2 linked regions of the Canis lupus familiaris genome follow. The protein of the gene in region 1 interacts with the protein of each later gene in a biochemical or structural test. Links are inferred from orthologs where the notes say so. Each region holds a gene or a part of one and is shown on either strand. Other genes may lie near its edges.

The links. The genes of interacting proteins can lie anywhere in the genome.
Region 2: the proteins of PRKCZ (region 1) and PARD6B form a complex in vitro, tested with the Homo sapiens proteins (2 studies listed by BioGRID). The link is inferred for Canis lupus familiaris from reciprocal best matches to the Homo sapiens genes PRKCZ and PARD6B.

The regions. Positions count from the first base shown.
Region 1 is NC_049226.1:57,486,846-57,490,585, reverse strand, and holds the start of PRKCZ (protein kinase C zeta type), read right to left. Parts: upstream 2,220-3,740; 5' UTR 2,155-2,219; coding exon 2,084-2,154; intron 1,923-2,083; exon of another isoform or gene 1,784-1,922; intron 587-1,783; exon of another isoform or gene 572-586; coding exon of another isoform or gene 510-571; intron 1-509. UniProt on the Homo sapiens protein: Calcium- and diacylglycerol-independent serine/threonine-protein kinase that functions in phosphatidylinositol 3-kinase (PI3K) pathway and mitogen-activated protein (MAP) kinase cascade, and is involved in NF-kappa-B activation, mitogenic signaling, cell proliferation, cell polarity, inflammatory response and maintenance of long-term potentiation (LTP).
Region 2 is NC_049245.1:37,729,141-37,732,880, reverse strand, and holds the start of PARD6B (partitioning defective 6 homolog beta), read right to left. Parts: upstream 2,402-3,740; 5' UTR 2,340-2,401; coding exon 2,274-2,339; intron 1-2,273. UniProt on the Homo sapiens protein: Adapter protein involved in asymmetrical cell division and cell polarization processes. Probably involved in formation of epithelial tight junctions.

The sequences.
Region 1 (3,740 bases):
AACTACTGACCAGTCTCATGGATGCCCCAGCACAGAAAGGAAAGATCTATCCTGTGCCTAGATGTGCCTAGATGGAGAAGTGGGGGTATCAGAAAGCATGGACTGTGGAAGCCGGGCAAGCACTTGCTCAGGCATCAAGTTCAAATTCCACTCAAAAGGTCACATAGGAGGGGTACAGGTGGGGTGGACAGTGCGTCCAGTTCAAGCCCACTGGCTTCATCAGACCTTCCCCCAAAGCTGATGGTGTGAACAGCAGACCAGACTGGAGCTGGAAAGAGGAAGACCCCCATGTGGTTGTTTCTGTGAGCTTAGTTAGACAAGGGCTGAGACTCAATCTGGCAAAGCAGGGTCTCCACCTCCATGGTACATTCATTACCTGGAAATACCCTCAAAACACGGTACTGCTGCATCCTGCTTGGACCCCACTCAGACCCTGGTGACGGCACATCCTCCAAAGGCCAACTTGGGGGCTCCCTATTTTTAACAATGACATCTTCAATGGGTCTGACCTTCTGTTGTGGCCCCGCTGTCCAAAACAACCTCCCAGCAGCCAGGCGGCAGCATAGTCCATCCGGAGTACCAGGACCCTGGAGGCCTGGATAAGTGAGCCCCTTGGGGGAGGGACCAGGGCAGGGGCAGCAGGAGGGAGTGGGGAGCAGGGGTAAGGCAGGAACCTCAGTACAGTCCAGGTACTACCTACCACCAAGGGAGAAAGGAAGAGTGTGGGAGGAGGAGGAGGAAGAGGGAGGGGATGAGGAAGAGAACAGGATGAGTGGACGCCTCATCAGCCCAGGAACCAAACCCAACAGGTCACATTACTGGCAGTAACCAAAGCACTCTCCAGGGGCCAAAGTAGGGGGCAGGGCTGGGGGCAGCAGGCTCCCTCCAGAACTCCCAGGCTCCAGTCCACTTTGCCTGCCCCCACCCCTCCACCCAGTGCCTGACACTGCTTCCTTGAGCCCAGCCTGGGGGCAGGCTGGGGGGCTGGGGGGTGGGGGGTCCCATCTCCACCCACCCCGGGCCAAGCGGCTGGGGTGTGGACTTCCTCACCCTGAGGACCAACTCTGATTTTTCACAAAGTGGCTTATTGCTCAATCCCACAGTTCCTGGCTGGGAAGAGGACTGTCAGATATGGGGACAGGCTTTCCACCGGGTTCACCAGCCAGAGAGCCAACCTGTTCTGGCCCTGCATGAGTCCACAGGCAGACCTCTTCAGGTGGGCTGGCCACGGTCCCCCCAGAAATCACTCCTCCCCAGAGCCCTGTCACCCACTCTGCCAGGTGACCCAGATGACCATGGCAGAAGGCACAGGACAGGTGTGACCTGAGACCCCAAAAGAGGTGCCCTCACCGAGTCAAGAGCCCCAGGCTCCTCCTCAATCTGGAGGATGCAGCAGGAGGCGCACCTCTGGGGAGACCACGGGCGTCAAGCAGCCGCAGCAGCAGGGTTTCCGCTGCCCCCGAGCGCTGGGGGCTGAGGCCGGATCCCGGCCGGGCCGCGGGCGCCGCGCCACCCCCCGCACCACCAGCAGGGCTGCCCCGCGGCGGCGGAGGGTGCGCGCTCCCGGGCGTGGCCCGGCGCGCCCGGCCTCTGACCCCTGAGCGGTGCCCGCTCGCCCCATTTTACCGCGGGCACATCGAGTCCAGGGCGCCGCGCGGGCGCGGAGCGGATCAGAGTCCGAAAGATCGGCTCCAACAGAGCGGCGCCTAGGGACTTAGGGGGCCCCCGCCCCGCCCCGCCCCGCCCCAGTGGGCGCGCCCGCGGGCTGCCCGGTGCCCCTCACCTTCCCCGGGATCGTGCCGCCGAGCCCTCCGGCCGGGTAAACTGGGAAACGCCTAGGAAACCCGGATTTTTACAGCTCGGCCGGCGGTTTTCATGTGACAAAAACTTCAGTGCTCACAGGTCCGTGGCCTTCACGTCCGGCCACCTTCGCAGAGGCAGTGGCAGCGCCGCGCCAGCGCCGCACGGACCCGGGGAGCGAGGGCCCGGCGCGGCCCCCACCGGCGACCCCGCCCGCCCGGGGCGCCCCCTCCCTCCCGCGCGCAGCGGCGGCCGCTCGGGCCCCGACGGCGGGCGCGCTCACCCGCTGTGGTGCGCCTTCAGGCGGACGCGGCAGCCGCTCCCGTGCATCTTGGGGCCGGTCCTGCTGGGCATGGCGCGCTCGGCCGGCCGCGGTCAGCCGTCAGCCGTCAGCCGTCAGCGCGCGGGCCATGGGCACCCGGCGGCCGGCCGGGGCGCCAGGATGGGGCCGGCGGCGGAACGCGGAAGGGCGCGCGCGGCGCGGGGCCCCAGGGCGCGGGGCCGGCCACCTCCGCGGAACCTGGACGGCGGGCGGGCGGGGGGCTCGGCCCGCGGGGGCGCGCGACGGGAGCGCACGGACTCCCGGCGCCAGGCCCGGGGGCGGGGGGTGCGGAGGGTCCGAATATGGCCGACCCGGGGCCCGGCGGGCGGCCAATCGGCGGGACGGGCGGTCCCGGGGCGGGGGCGGTGGCACCTGCGGCCAATGAGGGCGAGGCGGGGCCGCCACCTGGGCCAATCCCCGGGGGTCCCCGCGGCCGCGACCCAATGGCTCGGCGCGGGGCGGTCTACCTGTCGGGCGGGGCGCGGCCCACCTGCGGCCAATGGAAGCGCGCGCGGCCCGGCTCTGCCCGGCAACGGGAGGCGGCGCGCTGCGGGCCCCGCGCTCTGGCCCCTCGGCGAGGTGGGCTCCCGGGGCCGCGCTCCCCGGGGGGGCCCCTCCGCCGCCGCGCCCGGGAGCCCGCTGCGAAGGCGGGCCGTGGGGACTGCCCCATCCCAGACTCACGCAACCGAAACTCCGGCAGTCCGCGCGGACGCGCGCTGCGGGACCCGGGGCGAGCTCGAGTCCGAGAGGTTTGAGCCGCGGAGCCAGCGTCACGAGGACGGTCCGGCCCCGCTGGTTCCCTGGCCCCGGCCGCCCTCCTCCCCGTGCCGAACCCAAGATCCCGCTGTCTACACTAGCTGGCGGTTGCCTCTGCTCCGGTTGACTCTTTGGCCGGGACGAGGACCCTGCGTTTGCCCACGTCGCCCACGATCTTCATTTTTGTTTTGTTTTTTGTTTTAAGATTTTATTTATTTACTCATGAGAGACAGAGAGAGAGAGAGAGAGAGAGAGAGAGGCAGAGACACAGGCAGAGAGAGAAGCAGGTTCCATGCAGGGAGCCCGACGTGGGACTCGATCCCGGGTCCCCAGGATCAGGCCCTGGGCCGAAGGTGGCGCTAAACCGCTGAGCCACCCGGGCTGCCCCACGATCTTCATTTTTGAGTCCACACCTCCGTGGGTCGTCATAACTGCTGCACTTGATCCGGATTAGCGCCTCTGAACACCCTCCCTGCCCGCTCCTCAGCGGTCGTGTCGCTGCCTGGTTGCCTCCACGTGGCCCACACCGGCGTTTGTTTGTAGGACCTCACCTGGGCACCACGTGGGCACCCCAGATTCGGGTCTGCACTCGCTCCTCCCCGCCAAGCCCCCTCCTCCCCTTCCCCACACCACCCAGGGGGCAACCTCTGACCTGGGACTCCAGGCCCGCCAAGCCTTCACTCCTCACCTGGACAGGCTTCTGGTACTGGGTACTCACACTCCCATTCCACGGAGGCTTCCTGGTACCTCCTTGGTACTAGGCTCTGGGGTGAGCCTGGAGAACCAAGTGGACGGTGATTTATGGTCGTGGAACTCATCATCTCCAGAGGGATGGACACAGAGAAACCTGTTGAAAGCCCAT
Region 2 (3,740 bases), on another chromosome or scaffold:
TCTGTTGGTACATTCGAGAAATGCAAAGTTAATTTTAATGCTGTTTGCCCATGAATAATAAGTAGAAAATGTACGGCCCAAAGACTGTTCCAAGGTTACTGAGGGATATCACCTTCATTATTAAGAACTTCCCCAGCTCTGCTCAGATGATACAGTTGACACTGTTTTCTATGCAGAAGAAAAAGAGATCTTGAAATGTGGATCTGCACGTTACCTGGCTGTGGTTACAACTTCCCGACAATCAGTTTTGAAAAAAGCTGTGATATCACCAAGGCAGGGACAAAGAGAAATATTGTTTCAAACATCTGTCTAAATACTTTTTAAATGATAAAGATGACAAGTGTTTCATTTAATCCACTAAAAATAAATGTCTCAACAATATCTATTTAAAACAGTGTCACAGATGCTAAAAACAGTACCTAATATTGTGTCTATTCAGCAAGATCTAGAACAACAAGAGGAACCACACCTCATTTGGTGCAGGTCCTCAGAATGCCTCGATTCTATTTAAGAGACATGGTTCACTACGAGTGCAGCATGGCAGCTCAAATATACAACGTGTAGTACAGATGTAAGTGTGGGAAAGATTCACAGGTCAGTTGAGAGAAGAGAAAGGGCAGAAAGCCTGAAATTCCAGTCCCAAAAGTGCTCCAGGTTTCTAGTCCAGGAGATAAATTACCATTTGATTGTATTTATCGGTGCACCTAGACTCTCTACTCATTTTTTTCCTACGATAAAAAGTTCAAGACTTGTTACCAAGATTAGGACCACAAACTGAATTTTAAGATTATGCAATATCATAAGTGTTTTTCTTTTCTTAACCTCAACCCCCACAGACGCAAACTAGATTTATGGCAGAAATGCCTGAGAAAGTTCAACCAGTGGGCACAGAACCACTACCGCTGCTATACCGCTCGAGGAAAAATCCTGTATATTTGGAGTCATCTTAACCCTTAGCTCAAGCCATGTCCCTTCAATTTGCTCTAGTGATTCTGTGCAGGGCACAGGAAAGAAAAAACACAGTCCTTAAATTGCTATAATTACATTTCTATTCTTATTAAGCAGAACGGTTTCTGTGAACCCACTTGCCTATCCTGCTCCAGAGGTCACAAATAACATTTTCAAACGATGTTTAAAATGAATGTAGATACTCTTGATGTGAAGATCTCAGTTCCCAGCAACTCACAGAACTTTGCTTATCAGCTCTAGATAAAACCATTCCACCCCCAGGCTCCGGGGAGCTTTTCTTACTCCACTTCACTCAAAACCACTCCCTGATTTTGGATTTGCCCTCTGTAGTCTTACACTCAATGGTGTTTCGTTATTTTTGAAGCTGATCTGCTCGTACTGTTCTCCCATTCTTGTGTCTTGGTTTTGTTAACTGTTTTTAATGTTCTCAAAAACACGTTTGTTCTACAGAGTCTAGAAGTTATCTGTAAAAAGCCTTCCAGGTTTTGTCATAAAAGCAGAGCCTGGCGAAGTCATAACCTTTCTGACCCCTCCGTTTTCTCAAGAGAATCAAACTAGATTATCTGAGCTCCTTTGGCTCTTCAACTCACAAAATGCTTGCTGAAAATGCTGCTGTGGTTGCCGATCACCTTCAAATTCCAGCTCGAAACCCCCTTTGGAAAGCATTCTCTAACTAATCCCTACAGACTCCCCTGCTCGGGGAGCCTTGCAATTTAGGAATTCAGTGGATATGGACGGAATTTTCAGCAGGCTGGCATACCGTCGGTCAGGAAGGAAAACACTTGATGTGAAAAGGCAGCACGATGGAATGAAGAGAGCATCCAGCCTCAAACTGTAAAGGGCTACTCAAACGAAAGGTGATAGTGTTAATTCTTATAAATAGGACGCATACCAAAGGGAGTGCTGGAAAAATCCCTAGCAGGAAGCAAAGCCAACTTTCAAAGGGCTCTTCAGGGCCCTGGGCTCGCCGTCTCACCGCTCGATGCACCCCTGGACCACGGGAAGGGGTAACATTTTGTGACCGCGCGTGTTTCCAATACCTGCTACTCACAGGCCGGGAGCTACAACGTCCCCAAGCCTTCGCCCACACTGCGCTCAGACGCCTGCCATCCCCGCCCCGGGCTGAGACCCCAGGAGGGCAAGGGCTCCGCGGGCCTTCCCACCTGGGCCGGGAGCAAACGCAAGGCCCCACCCTCGCCCGCTTCTCGGCGAGTGCACCGGGCAGCCCCGCACGCCCCGCGGCCGCAGCCAGCGGGCAGCCCCGGCCCCCCGCCCCCGCCCCCGCCGGCCCCGGGCCCGCGCACCTTGCTCTTCACCTCCATGGTGCCCAGGCAGCCGCTGCCCGCCCCGTGCCGGTGGCTGCGGTTCATGCTGAGGCCGGGCCCCGCGGCGGCCTCCTGCGGCCGGGCCGCCCCTCGGGAGCGCGGGGAGTCGCGGCCGGCGGGACGGGGCCGGGGCCGGGGACGCGGCTGCGGCCCGGGCGCCTCCGCACCGGCACCTGCAGAGCGGCGGCCGCGACTCGGCTTCTGGGCGCGGAGCTCCGCTCGGCCGGCTGCTCGCGGCGGCACCGAGGGTCCGACTGGCTGCGCGGCGGGCGGGGACGCGACTCCCTCCCTCCGGGCCTCGGCGGCGGCCGCGACGGCGGAGGGGGCGGAGCACAGGCGACGGGCGCCGCGAGCTCGCTCCCGGCCGCCTCCCCCGCCGGCCCGCGCGCGCGCACCCGAGCCCGGGAGGGAGCCGCGGCGCGCGCGCGCTCACCTGCAGCCTCGGCAGAAGCCTCGGCGGCTCGCGCTCCGCCCACACCCAATAGGAAGCGCGCACCTGCGCCCGCGCCGCCAGCCAATCGAAACCCGCCTCGCGAGCGTGTGGGCGGGCCGCCTCCGCGAAAATCCCGCCTACCGCCTCGCGATTGGTCCCGCGCTGCGAGGGAGGGGCGGGATCACCTGAAGCCTTGGGCCCCCCTCCCCGGACCTAGCAGGAGAGCTGGAAGGCGCATGCGCGGGCTCTGGTGTTTCCGCCTCGGGAAGGCCGGCCGGAAGCGCGAGCGCACCTGGAGAGGCGCTGGGGCGGGGGCGTTTTGCGCAAGCGCAGGCGCAGGCGCGCGCCCGAGGGCCGGGTCGGGCGAGGGCGCGCCGGGCTGGGGGTGGGACCGCGCTGCCCCGCGGGGCCCCGGGGCGCGGAGGTGCCGCTGGCTTCGCGCCCGCCCCCGCCGCAGTCCGCTTTGGGGGCTGCAGTTGCAGAGGCTCCCCTCCACCGCCCGGCTGGGTGCTTCGGGAGTCCGTCTGCAACTCTGGCTACGGAATAAAAGTTCTCCCGCCTCTGCAACAGTTACTGGGGGAGAGCATCGGGGCTCCGCGGGCTCGGTTTCGTCCGCGGGTCCCAGGGGGTCGAGAGGGCGCCGCGAGGGAGGGGAAGTGGGCGGAGGCCCAGGGTGCATGGCCGCGCGCAGGACTTCGGATCGGCCTCCCAGGGCTTGCGTTAGGCTCTGCTCGCGAAGTCTTCTCCCTCCTCCAGCCGTTTCTTCGCCGTTTGCTGTTTCCACCAACGGCAGCCTCTGGACAATGTTCTTTTCTCCGTGGGGCGATAGAACTCCGTCCTTGATAAAAGACAACCCTCTGTTTTAAATGCCCCAGAGCGCGGTTCCTTCTCGCAGGGAGGCTGTTTAAAACAGTACTGGCCGCGCCAGGGAAGTGAGGAGGAGACCCTCCAGTGCCCCCCCCCCCCCACCTGCAGAGGGGCCGGCCTGACCTGGGGGTGGGGGCGGTTCATTC